Linked DNA regions of Nothobranchius furzeri. The protein of the gene in region 1 purifies or fractionates together with the protein of each later gene. This does not show direct contact. Links are inferred from orthologs where the notes say so. Each region holds a gene or a part of one and is shown in the gene's direction. Other genes may lie near its edges. The genes, in order: copb2, copz1 and arcn1b.

Region 1 (4,193 bases):
AGGAGCTGACATGTGAAGATGTGATTTGTGTTCAAGTGTTCAAAAGAAAATAATAGCGTCTGTCCTTATTGTCACTAGGTTGATAAAAAATAGAATCTACATGTTTTCCAAGCATTTTGAATCAATAAATGATCTTTAATTATTCATTGTGTTGTATTTTATTTGTTAGCGTGCAAATCCCTCATTCTGTCAAGGCAACAACACATGTGTTTGGAATAATTTAGAAGAGTTTTGCTTCTAGTTTAACTTTAAAAACCCAGTTCCTTTTTCTGCTTTTACTCATCTTCCTCATCATCCTTAATTTTATTATTCCCAAGAGGACAAAATGGAAGATTAACATTTTTTACAGCTTAATTAAGATAAGGAGGCTGAAATATTTTCTTCTAAATGGGTCACGGGTTCGATTCCAGCTCCCGCCAGGTGTATCCTGCTGTCGTGTCCTTGGGCAAGACACTTCACCCAACTTGCCTGTGTTAGTGGTGGTCAGAGGGGCCGACGGCGCCAAATGGCAGCCTCGCCTCTGTCAGACCTCCCCAGGGCGGCTGTGGCTACAAGTAGCTTACCATCACTAGCAGTGTGTGAATGTGAGAGTGTGTGAAAGCGTCTTTGGGTGTCTTGAAAGCGCTATATAAGTTCAATGCATTATTATTATTATTATTAAAAAAATAAAAAAAAGTACCCGCGTTCAGACACTGGAGGGCAGCAACTCCCCATCTCCCCGTCTTTTATAAATGCTGTTGGAAACCAAAGTGTTGTTCTGTTGTTTTGCCAGTAGAGGGCACAAGTTCTCCGTTCTGTCAAGGCAACAAAACATTTTATTTGGAAGAATTTAGAGAAAGTGTTTTTACTAAGTAACAATTTAAATTAAAAAATCCTGTTCCTTCTTCTGCTTCTACTCATCCTTCTTCTCATCCTTAATAGTAATACTCCCAAGAAGATTAAGATAAGGAAGCTGTGTCCAGGACGAACCAAGACCCCCAACCTTTACCCTCATGAACACATCAAAAGTGAATAATTACAAGCTTTATACAGGCATACTAAGATATACTTCTTATGCAGAGTTTTGATTATACGATTTGGTGTGTTTTGGGGCTTTTATACATTTAACTTTTGAAAATATAATCTTGGTAATCCCACACCCCACTGTAATCTTTGGGTTTCACGGATCCCAGGTTGCGAACCACTGAGTTAGAATAAATATTAAAATTACAAGCTTAAATATTGTTTAAAAAATGTCCATGTAATTCAGTAACTTTATTTGAGTTACAACAGCAACTTGCAACCTACAAAAAATAAAAAAATAAAAAAATAACTTGCAACCTACAAGCTTCCATGTCACGTCAGCAGTTCCAACACAGTTCTCGCGAGATTTCGTTTCAGGAAGTTCCACGTCAGTGTCCTGCAGAACGCTGCTCACTGAAATCGCAACATTTGGACTCGATTGGACGTTAATCGGATCTAGCAAAGACATCCAGGGCGGAAAATATGGTAAGCTGTAGTTTAGAAAGTTATAAGTGTGCTTCTTTTCGATAAATGTCACCCGAGATTCAGTTTAATCTTTAAACAAAAAGAATGAAATGCTTAAAAGAGCCTAGCGGCTAACTAGCTTAAGTTTGCATAGAATATTGTCTCTCAAACACGTTTAAACCTAAATGTTAATGTCACATATATCTATCCTTATTTTTCAACGAATTAGTCACAGATGAATGTGTGACTGATCAACTGAAATAGCGAAAAAAACAGTTTTAATTTCATTTGTTTCTGATGATTGATACATTGGTGTTAAGTTGACGTTCTGCTACTACTAGCTAACAGCAACAAAGTACAGTTTGAATAGTGTCTATTAACACATTGGGTTTATTTTTATTTAAGCCTCTGAGGCTGGACATCAAGAGGAGGCTAACAGCCAGGTCGGACCGGGTCAAGAGTGTGGATCTTCACCCAACCGAGCCATGGATGTTGGCCAGTTTGTACAACGGCAGTGTCTGTGTGTGGAACCACGAAACGCAAGTATGGAATACACCCAAAGAGTAAAACCTTTGATCTGTGCACCATATAAACAAACAAATATGTGAAAAACATCTATAAAAATCACAATCAAAGTCGATCTGTTTTTATTCCAGACTCTGGTCAAGACGTTTGAAGTGTGTGACCTGCCTGTCAGAGCTTCCAAGTTTGTGGCAAGAAAGAACTGGGTGATCACAGGAGCAGTGAGTCACAGGAATTTATTTGTTTTGAGCCTACACCTCTAAAAGCTTCTGTAATATATATATATATATATATATATATATATATATATATATGTATATATATATATATATATATATATATATGTATATATATATATATATATATATGTATATATATATATATATATATATGTATATATATATGTATATATATATATATATGTATATATATATGTATATATATATATATATGTATATATATATGTATATTAGTGTAAAACTGCTATTTGATGTTATTTTAGAGTTAAAACTTTTACTAGAAAACTTAGGAAAAACTACACTTTTCTACTTTATTCATAATTTCTTTTCTCTTCACAGGATGACATGCAGATCCGTGTGTTCAACTACAACACCTTGGAGCGGGTCCACATGTTTGAAGCCCACTCTGACTACATCCGTTGCATTGCTGTCCATCCAACTCAGCCATACATCCTCACTAGCAGTGGTACACTATTTACCCTACTAAACCTATATTTTCTACAGCTTTAAATGCAGCTGTGGCTCTGATTAGGCTTATGTATCCTTTTTTTGGGCACTTGAGCGTGATTGTGTTTTATCTTTGTGCAGACGACATGCTGATCAAGCTTTGGGATTGGGAGAAAAAGTGGACATGCAGTCAGGTGTTTGAGGGTCACACTCATTACGTCATGCAGATCGTCATCAACCCCAAGGACAACAACCAGTTTGCGAGCGCTTCTCTGGACAGAACCATAAAGGTAGATTTTTCTGTTTGTGCAAATGGATAAATGGAATGTAAAACTGTATATAAGTGTAGATTATTGTTTTTAATGAATGTGTGTAAGATCAACAGCTCCTTTATATTTGATTTGGTGCAAAGGAGTCAGTGGTAAGAAGCGTACTGTGTCTGATTATTTTTGTACAGTTCTCTCTCTCTTTGTGTTGTACAGGTTTGGCAGCTGGGCTCCTCATCTCCTAATTTCACTCTGGAGGGTCACGAAAAGGGAGTAAACTGTATTGACTACTACAGTGGAGGAGACAAGCCCTATCTGATATCAGGGGCTGATGACCGCCAAGTCAAAATTTGGGACTACCAGGTTAGAGAAGTTTTATTTGGTTATAGTTATAGTGGCATGTACACAGAATTTAAAGTAAGTCACCAAATGGGGAAAACTGCATTAATTTGAAAAAGTACAGACTATTTGTTTTATCTCGCATTAGAAAAAGCCCAAGTTAGGTATGGTGATTTTATTTTTTGGTCTTTGTAAGTTTTATCTAGCATTTCCTCTACATACATTTATATCCCTCTTTCTCTGTGTGTTGTAGAACAAGACTTGTGTTCAGACTCTGGAAGGTCATGCCCAAAATGTCTCGTGTGTCAGCTTCCACCCAGAACTACCCATAATCATCACGGGATCAGAGGATGGTGAGAAAAAATCTCCCTCAACCATAAAATCCACAGGAACGTCCTCTCCTTATGTTGTTGTTTTGTGCAATATCGTCGTCTTTCCTCTCCAGGTACGGTTCGAATCTGGCACTCGAGTACTTATCGCCTGGAAAGCACCCTGAACTACGGCATGGAACGAGTGTGGTGTGTGTGTGGCCTCAGGGGATCCAACAATGTGGCACTGGGATACGATGAAGGCAGCATCATCATCAAAGTGAGTAAAAGGAAGATTTAATCTAAAGTTGGATTAAACTAATGCCTCAAAATTAACTTTTTAAAAGAAATCCACATTAAAATGAAATAAACGGTAAAAGTAAAAATGTGTACGCTTGTTTTACTCTGCGGTGTAGGTTGGTCGGGAGGAGCCAGCCATGTCTATGGACACTAATGGCAAAATCATCTGGGCTAAGCACAGTGAAATACAGCAGGCTAACCTGAAGGCTATGGGGGATGCAGAAATCAAAGATGGGGAGAGACTGCCACTGGCTGTCAAAGACATGGGTAGCTGTGAGATTTACCCTCAAACCATCCAGCATAAC
Region 2 (4,360 bases), on another chromosome or scaffold:
TTGAAATAGCTGTGATATTGTGCAACATTTCATGATTTTACAGTTCTGTTACAAATGTGTACAAACTAAGTTTGGATCTTCTAATTCCTCTCTACAAGCCAAGAGATCTCTTTCCATGATTATTTTGGAACTCAAGAGTAACAGAAGGTAACTGTAAGGCCACACAATGATGTAATTTGTGGATTGAGATAGAGGGAAATCCCCATCAGACTGCTTTTCCAAAAGTTTCCCAGAAGTGGGAAGTAAGATAATTGGAGGTGGTTAAATGTGGGAGGATCCTGTAAAAAAAGATGCTGATGAGAACGAGAAACATAAAACGGGTTGTAAATGGAGAGATTGCTCGTATGATGTTTTTCAATGCAGCAACCGCTGTGTGACACAGAGCTTCAGCTAATGAGTGGAGGAACCTTTAATTTTAAAGACAAAAGTTTTAGTTAGATATTGTTCTAATGATGCTTGAAAGGGTTCCTATGGACATCAAAAAGAAGGATTAGGTTCTAATTTTCTGGTTTAACAAAAGCAAGGAAATAAGATCATGATGTTAGAAAAACATATTTAGCTTTTTACGTTACAGAAATCAAGTTTGTGAAAACTTGATGAAAGAAAAAAGTTCAGTCTGAAATGCTAAACTTATAACTTTGTTGCAAAGCTACAGAATTGCATTTAATTTTTTAAACACTATCCTCCATTTACAAAAAGCAACAAAGTCAACAATGTTAAAGGTGAAACAATTTTAGTAAGCTTGTTAAACGGTGCTTATTGAGTGACAGTAAAATAAAATGCAGATTTGGATTTACGTTTATCATTTTGTGTCACATCATTGCAAAGTAAATGTTATGAAAGATTTTAAGACTTTAAAGTGACTTTCTTTTATTTTCCGTTATGTGACTTTTCAGCTTTTCGATTTATGGAGAAGAGGACAGCTATGGTTGCACCCTTTTCTGTAAAACCACATCCTTTTTTATATTGTTCATCAAAACATTAAACACGTTGCTCTTTAGTCTGCATTAGATGCATTGATGTACTCGAAGTTGCTACTAAATTGGGTACTATTATTTTGAATTAAAATGTTTTTATTTTTGATTGATAGTTTGATTGTAATAATCCAACACTGTATTCACAAATGCAGATTTTTATTTATGATTATTACAAAATGTACTAACTGGAATAATAACATAAGTGCATTTACAAAGTCCCTGAAACTGGTCAAGAATTAGTCAGTCATTTCTTTTGTCCACAGTTTGAAATATTTAATCTAAAATATTCAAATGTTCAATTTAAACACAAAGGCTATTCAGATTTGTTTTATGTTTTTATAACATTTATTTTTGTGCTTATTTTTCCCCAAATTTTTTTAACATTGAAGTTTATAATTTTATAAATTTTTGTTGTTCAAACTCCGTTCAATCTGTGCAGTTTTCAGGTAAAAAAAAAATTCACACATGATGAAGACTGTTTTGTCTATAAAGTTGTTAATAAAGTTTGTTTAAAAAAAGTCAACAGTGACGTAATCCTTGCTCTTACGCACGACGTAAGATGCTGGAATTGATTGTAGGCTAGTGTTAGCCGTGTAGCTGGTTTGCCAACAAGAAAGAAAATGGACTCGCCTATCCTGGTAATATCTAATTTATTTTTTCATGACGGCATAATGTTAGTGAAGCGTTTAACCTCGTAGTGTAAACATTTTTTTAAATTGTCTTCATAATTTAGGCGAAATGCTGCTTATTTAGCATCCTCCCGAGTTAACTTGACAGAGAGCTAACTACAGTGTTAGCTAACTAGTTAGCGTCGAGGAAGTATGTGTCCGTTTGTTGCTGATGTGGAAGTGTCATGTCCTCCACCTGACATGAACAAGAATACCGTCATGACAACATTTTTACAACCGTTTTTGATACATGTCTTAAGACTAAACGATCCTATTATGGCCTAATCACGGCCATTTTTCTTAAACTATCCTTCTTACTACAAACCTTAATTTCTAGTCCTTTATGTTTGTTTAAACACAACGCACTGTACTGCTGTCTTCACAGGAACCCTCTTTGTATACGGTCAAAGCTGTTCTGATTCTGGACAATGACGGAGACAGGCTTTATGCCAAGGTATGACTTTAATCCTGATTCATCTTTTTTACTTTAAATATTTTCTTCAAACACGCAAAGTCTGATTTAATGTCAATATTACAGCTTTTCACTTGGATTAGATCCCCCCAAAAGCAATAAGTTAATTATTCAACACACCTGATACATTTTCATAAATTTTTCATGACCTATTTAATAATAATAGATTTGAGCTGTACACAAACAGTTTTTAGATGTATTTGAAGGTGGTGATTGCAAAGCACTAAAAAAAAACACAGGAGTCTTTTGTGTAATTAGATAGAGAAATTTAATTAGACAAATTACAGGCGTTATTCCTTGGTCTGTTGGTCTGTTTAAAATTTAAGGTGTTCCTGATTTATATGGTTAACTATTTTAATTTTAATTTAATGTATTCATTTTTAAAATGTATCTTATTTACTTTTTATTGCTAAAAATGGTCAAAGCTGATGGCTCCTACCCCCACACCTTAAAGTTTTGTTTAAAAACAAGTTTATTTTTACTGACTCAGTATAATTCACATTATTCAATCCTTGTAATTTTATATCATAATTTTAAATATTGTTAATCATAGAAGCAAAGTTTTAAATGTAAAACTATGTTACTAGGTTTTAAATATGTTTGCTTCCGTAGTAGAAACCGTTTGGCTAACCCCGGCTTTCCACGGGAGCCGTCAGCAGCACGTTACTGCAGCAGCACGTCATAGCTGCTGATAGGAACCGCTGTGGTCAACAGAACCTTTTCCACCGGAGCCGCCGGCAGCCGTCAGCAGCGCGAGTCGGCCGCGTCTCAGGAGCAGCATGTCGCGGCCTTTACGCGCCGGTTCTATTTTCTACGCGCGACGCCTCTGAAACGGGTCAAGTTCGACATTTTTGGGGAAGGAAAGACAGGAAATCGAACGCGGAAATGGGGAGAAGCTCTCGAGATTTTCAGAATAAAGAACGTACTGCCTTCCGGTTGCTTTACTTTTAAAAACAGTTACTAACTGTGCGTCCCCGTGAGAAGTTATCACACAGCTAGTGGTCTCCTTTGTTTTTCAGGTCCGTATTGGCGATTATAAAACGGACAGAACATAAAACACAAACCATGTTGTAGTTTTCTCCTGCTTGTTGTTGTGTTTACTGACGAAGTCACTCGTGTGACTTCGTGCTCGGTCGGTGACAGCTGCTCCCCTGCTGCTTCGCGTCTCGTGGGAAGGGCCAAGCAGCAGCTTACGCGAGCAAGACGTGCTGCTGCAGTAACGTGCTGCTGACGGCTCCCGTGGAAACCCGGGGTTAGTGTCACAGAATCGATAGGGAAGTCAGACCTTTTAGAAACTTAATGTTTCCTATTTTAATGAAGAATATTTTACGTACCACATTATTTATATACTTTAATGTAAAATAATAGATTTATTTGAATTGTTTTAAAATGTACTTTTCTTCTTGGTGTGTCTGCAGTATTATGACGACACATATCCGACGGTGAAGGAGCAAAAGGCGTTTGAGAAGAACATATTCAACAAAACACACAGAACAGACAGTAAGCTAAGCATATTAAAGGTAATTGGTTTGCTTCAGTACATGACTAAAATGTGATGGTATTATTTGTTTGTTTGTAGGTGAGATTGCATTACTGGAAGGCCTAACTGTTGTCTACAAGAGCAATATAGATCTCTTCTTTTATGTCATCGGAAGTTCACATGAAAATGAGGTAAAACTGAAAGAACTTTCATGAAAAGTCAGCCTTTTCTTAATTATAGCAGATAAAACAGTCACATTTTAACTGCTAATATTTTCACATAATTACTATTTGTTGAAATTTGTTCTTTTTCAATAGCTTATGCTCATGGCTGTTCTAAACTGCCTATTTGATTCCCTCAGTCAGATGTTGAGGTATGTCTTGGTAGCAGTTTAGCACAAAATGTCAAATGTTTATAAACCATTAATCTCTCAGATTGGGATTGAGTTATTTCTCTTTAATTTTACAGAAAAAATGTTGAGAGGAGAGCTCTGTTGGAGAATATGGAGGGACTCTTCTTGGCTGTGGATGAAATAGTGGATGGGGGGTGAGTTTGAACCACCAATGATCTTTAACTAAAAACTTTTTCTTTATACTTACTGTGGTGTTTTGGGTTACTTACAGCGTGGTCCTGGAGAGCGACCCGCAGCAGGTTGTGCATCGCGTGGCTCTTCGAGTGAGTATTTCTCATCACAAATGTTCAACACGGTGTGAAAGTGTTGATGTGTGTGTGTGCGCACGCTGTAAACCTGTTGTAATACTTG
Region 3 (3,578 bases), on another chromosome or scaffold:
ATTAGATGATAACGATAGTGGCATAGGAAGCTAACATATCAAGCTAACGTTATCTTAAACAGTTTAACTGCTGGAGCAGATTAAAACGATGATGCCTCACACTTAGATCGTTGTCACTGGTTTCATCTTCACCCAATCACCCGTCGCATTTAGTAAAGTGAAGCCAAACTTTAGAGCGTGTTCATGTTCTTCTAGTCGGAATTTCGGAGTTCCGAGGAGAAAGCGAACGCACCATTAGTGAAACGGAAGCTAACAAATCAAGCTAACGGTATCTTAAACATTTTATTTACCTACCAGAGCAGATTAAGATGAGGATGTCTCACTTAGATCGTTGTCGCTGGTTTCATCATCACCCAGTTAGCCATCACATTTAGTGAAGTGGACCCAAGCGTTAGCGTGCCTTCTTTCTACCATGCTGCTCTGTTTACAACTCGCTCGCAGCGACCAACGACATAACGCTCTTGCACATGCGCAGCTGTCTTAGCAAGTTCTCGTTGTGAAGGACGGGCACCGAAACGAGGCACCGTTTGAAATGACGTGAATCGGTGCTCGGTCGGTACTGTGGAATTCGATCGGTACCTTAAAAAGTACCGAATTTGGTACCCATCCTGATTTTAATGCTTTCTTTTGGGTTTTACAGCTTCTCAAAGTTTGTGGATTTTCACATATTAGCAGAAACACCAACGTTGCCCTGTAGCTGGAGATTACCACACTGAAGTTATAAAAAGAGACCCTGATCTGATGCTGGAGCTTACATCTGGATGTCCATGATATAATGTTGTTTTTATTTAAACCCGACTGCTTTGATCTTTATTTACATCTGTGTGGCTGTGTTTTCTGCTCAGCGTACACCTGCGTGTGGAGGAGAAGATCTCGCTGACCTGTGGCCGTGATGGTGGCCTGCAGAACATGGAAGTGCTTGGCATGGTGACGCTTCGGGTCACAGATGACAAAAACGGACGCATCCGCCTCATTATCAACAACAATGACAACAAAGGACTACAGCTGCAGGTAAACATAGTTTAGTGCTTGGTCCTTTAGCCTTTTGTTTGAGCTTAACTTGAGCAAATTATGGGATGGTTGTAGTGCTGACAGATTTGCTGATCACCATAGAGATTAACTAGATGCCTTAATGGAGTGGATTTGTCATTAAGGCCTAGTCCACACGTAGCCGGATAAATACGTTGTTAAGGACATGCCAGACCTGTAGGCGGCAGTACTTCTCCCGTTCTTAACCTCGTCCTTCCTCTGTGGTCTTCCGCAAGGAGCAGTAATTCCGCTTGCAAAAACAAACAAGCAAAAAGCGCTTGGACAATTGATAAAGCGAGCGCAGCTCTGAGGACATCCATGCTGTCGGCTAGTGTAAACACAGGTCGCACACGTGATGTCAGCATTTTTTTGTCGCGGAAAGTGACGTTGCGGACCTTAAAACTCCGGTTTTGTCCGTCCACACGCAGACACCCAAAACGGAGAAAACGCAGATCTTCACTTCGGCCGGAGTTTTTAAAAAGATCCGTTTTCGTGTGGATGACAGGCCAAAATGTAGTAAAATATCTACGTTTTTGCAGATCCCCGGCTACATGTGGACAGGGCCTAAAGCTGCAATCCAGAGTTTTCCCCCTTTCAGGAGTTCTGTAGGATTTTTTTTATCCGTAAAAGTGATGTAATGTAGGTCAATGATTCCCCCCCCCCCAGTCCTACAGAGCCCCATGCTATTTGAATTGAGCGTTCAGCATTAGCCAAAGGGATACTAATCTGCTGTGCATGAGCAGGGACGTACCTGAACTGATGCAAAGTTGGAGGCAGTTCTATGGATGAGTAGGTGTTCAAATGTACACATATGAATAAACAGCACAACATGAGAAGAACATGAGCCATGTTTGCTGGCTAGATGTGTGCGTCCACAAACGAGAGGTGTTGCTTCCAGCCTTAGTCACTGAATTAGGGTGAGGCTTAAGGTGCAGTACATTTCTCTGCCTCTAGATGGTGTCCTCTGAGGAAAAACAACTTGCTTCTGGGACACACACTTTTTTTTCCACACTGGAGGTTAAAAGGACAATATGTAGTTTTTTTAATATCTGGAAATATCCAATAAATTGTTGTTGAAAATGAATGAAATGATGCCCAATTGTTGTAAAATATTATTGGCTTCTTAACATATAACCGTATAAATTAGGTCTAAAATACACAGGAGTGGGTCTAAGTCCCTGAGCGATGCCGTGCTTCCTTCTACAGGAGCCCATGAGGACAAAACACATTAACTGATTTACCGACAAACGGTTACTAAACTTTCACCGTTCATAAATGTTGTTTTACACCTTTACCTCTTCACTAGTTGCCGGTGATGAAAGGGAGTGCTTGTCATTTTGCTAAAGTTTGCACTCCCCAGAGCTTTTTTGACCCTAAAGGGCATCCGTAGGTAAGGTCTTACTCCACACAAAAATGCAGCTTGCTTGCAACTATTTAGGTATCTACTGCCCCCTATCGCCAGGAAAAATACACACTGTCACTTTAATGCTACTCTCTCTGTCTGTAGCACACATGCAGGTTGTGTGTTACTAATATCCTCTGATTTACTGAGGTAATAATGAATATATCAGGGTGTGTATTAACCTTGTGTCACAAGTAGCTGTTTGGCCTTTTCTCTTCACATTTATCTAATATGATCCAACTCACTATTTATTAGAAATGATTCATTTCTTTCAGTAAGTCGGGCTCGTTCCCAGTGAGAGTTGGACTCCGCCAAGGCTGCCCTTTGTCACCGATTCTGTTCATAACTTTAGTGGACAGGATTTCTAGGTGCAGCCAAGGTGTGGAGGGCAGCCATTTTGGAGGCCTGGGGATCAGGTCTGCTTTTTGTAGATAATGTGGTCCTCTTGGCTTCATCAGAACGTATCTACAGCTTTCGCCGGAGCGGTTCGCAGCCGAGTGTGAAGCAGCTGGGATGAGAATCAGCTCCTCTAAATCTGAGACCATGGTCTTGAGTCAGAAAAGGGTAGAATGCCTTCTCCGGGTCAGGGATGAGGTCCTGCCCCAAGTGGAGGAGTTTTAAGTATCTCGGGGTCTTGTTCACGAGTGAGGGACAACTGGAGCGTGAGATCGATAGGCAGATTGGTGCTGCATCTGCAGTGATGCGGGCGTTGTACCTGTCTGTCGTGGTGAAGAGAGCTGAGTCGGAAGGTGAAGCTCTCGATTTACCGGTCGATTTACGTTCCTACCCTCACCTATGGTCATGAGCTTTGGGTAGTGACCGAAAGAACGAGATCGCGTATACAAGTGGCCGAAATGAGTTTTCTCCGAAGAGTGGCTGGGCTCTCCCTTAGAGATAGGGTGAGAAGCTCGGTCATTCGGGAGGGGCTCGGAGTAGAACCGCCTCTCCTCCACATCGAGAGGAGCCAGTTGAGATGGCTCGCGTATCTGGTCAGGAAGCCTCCTGGACGCCTCCCTGGTGAGGTTTTCTGGGCACGTCCAACCGGGAGGAGACCTAAAGGTAGACCCAGGACACGGTGGAGGGACTATGTGTCTCTGCTGGCCAGGGAACACCTTGGGATTCCCCCGGAGGAGCTGGCCCAAGTGGC

The links.
Region 2: the proteins of copb2 (region 1) and copz1 fractionate together in Homo sapiens (co-fractionation; 6 studies listed by BioGRID and IntAct, with this or other methods). This does not show direct contact. The link is inferred for Nothobranchius furzeri from reciprocal best matches to the Homo sapiens genes COPB2 and COPZ1.
Region 3: the proteins of copb2 (region 1) and arcn1b fractionate together in Homo sapiens (co-fractionation; 5 studies listed by BioGRID and IntAct, with this or other methods). This does not show direct contact. The link is inferred for Nothobranchius furzeri from reciprocal best matches to the Homo sapiens genes COPB2 and ARCN1.

Annotation. Positions count from the first base shown.
Region 1 is NC_091751.1:58,296,261-58,300,453, reverse strand, and holds the start of copb2 (coatomer subunit beta'), read left to right. Parts: upstream 1-1,356; 5' UTR 1,357-1,485; coding exon 1,486-1,488; intron 1,489-1,872; coding exon 1,873-2,010; intron 2,011-2,123; coding exon 2,124-2,210; intron 2,211-2,567; coding exon 2,568-2,694; intron 2,695-2,816; coding exon 2,817-2,965; intron 2,966-3,157; coding exon 3,158-3,304; intron 3,305-3,533; coding exon 3,534-3,633; intron 3,634-3,725; coding exon 3,726-3,868; intron 3,869-4,004; coding exon 4,005-4,193. Other genes in the region: retinol-binding protein 2-like, read left to right, coding at 3-53. UniProt on the Homo sapiens protein: The coatomer is a cytosolic protein complex that binds to dilysine motifs and reversibly associates with Golgi non-clathrin-coated vesicles, which further mediate biosynthetic protein transport from the ER, via the Golgi up to the trans Golgi network.
Region 2 is NC_091755.1:25,754,912-25,759,271, reverse strand, and holds the start of copz1 (coatomer subunit zeta-1), read left to right. Parts: upstream 1-1,484; 5' UTR 1,485-1,597; coding exon 1,598-1,615; intron 1,616-2,030; coding exon 2,031-2,099; intron 2,100-3,535; coding exon 3,536-3,617; intron 3,618-3,696; coding exon 3,697-3,788; intron 3,789-3,914; coding exon 3,915-3,970; intron 3,971-4,065; coding exon 4,066-4,143; intron 4,144-4,220; coding exon 4,221-4,272; intron 4,273-4,360. UniProt on the Homo sapiens protein: The coatomer is a cytosolic protein complex that binds to dilysine motifs and reversibly associates with Golgi non-clathrin-coated vesicles, which further mediate biosynthetic protein transport from the ER, via the Golgi up to the trans Golgi network.
Region 3 is NC_091753.1:20,850,699-20,854,276, forward strand, and holds part of arcn1b (archain 1b), read left to right. Parts: intron 1-845; coding exon 846-1,011; intron 1,012-3,578. UniProt on the Homo sapiens protein: Component of the coatomer, a cytosolic protein complex that binds to dilysine motifs and reversibly associates with Golgi non-clathrin-coated vesicles, which further mediate biosynthetic protein transport from the ER, via the Golgi up to the trans Golgi network.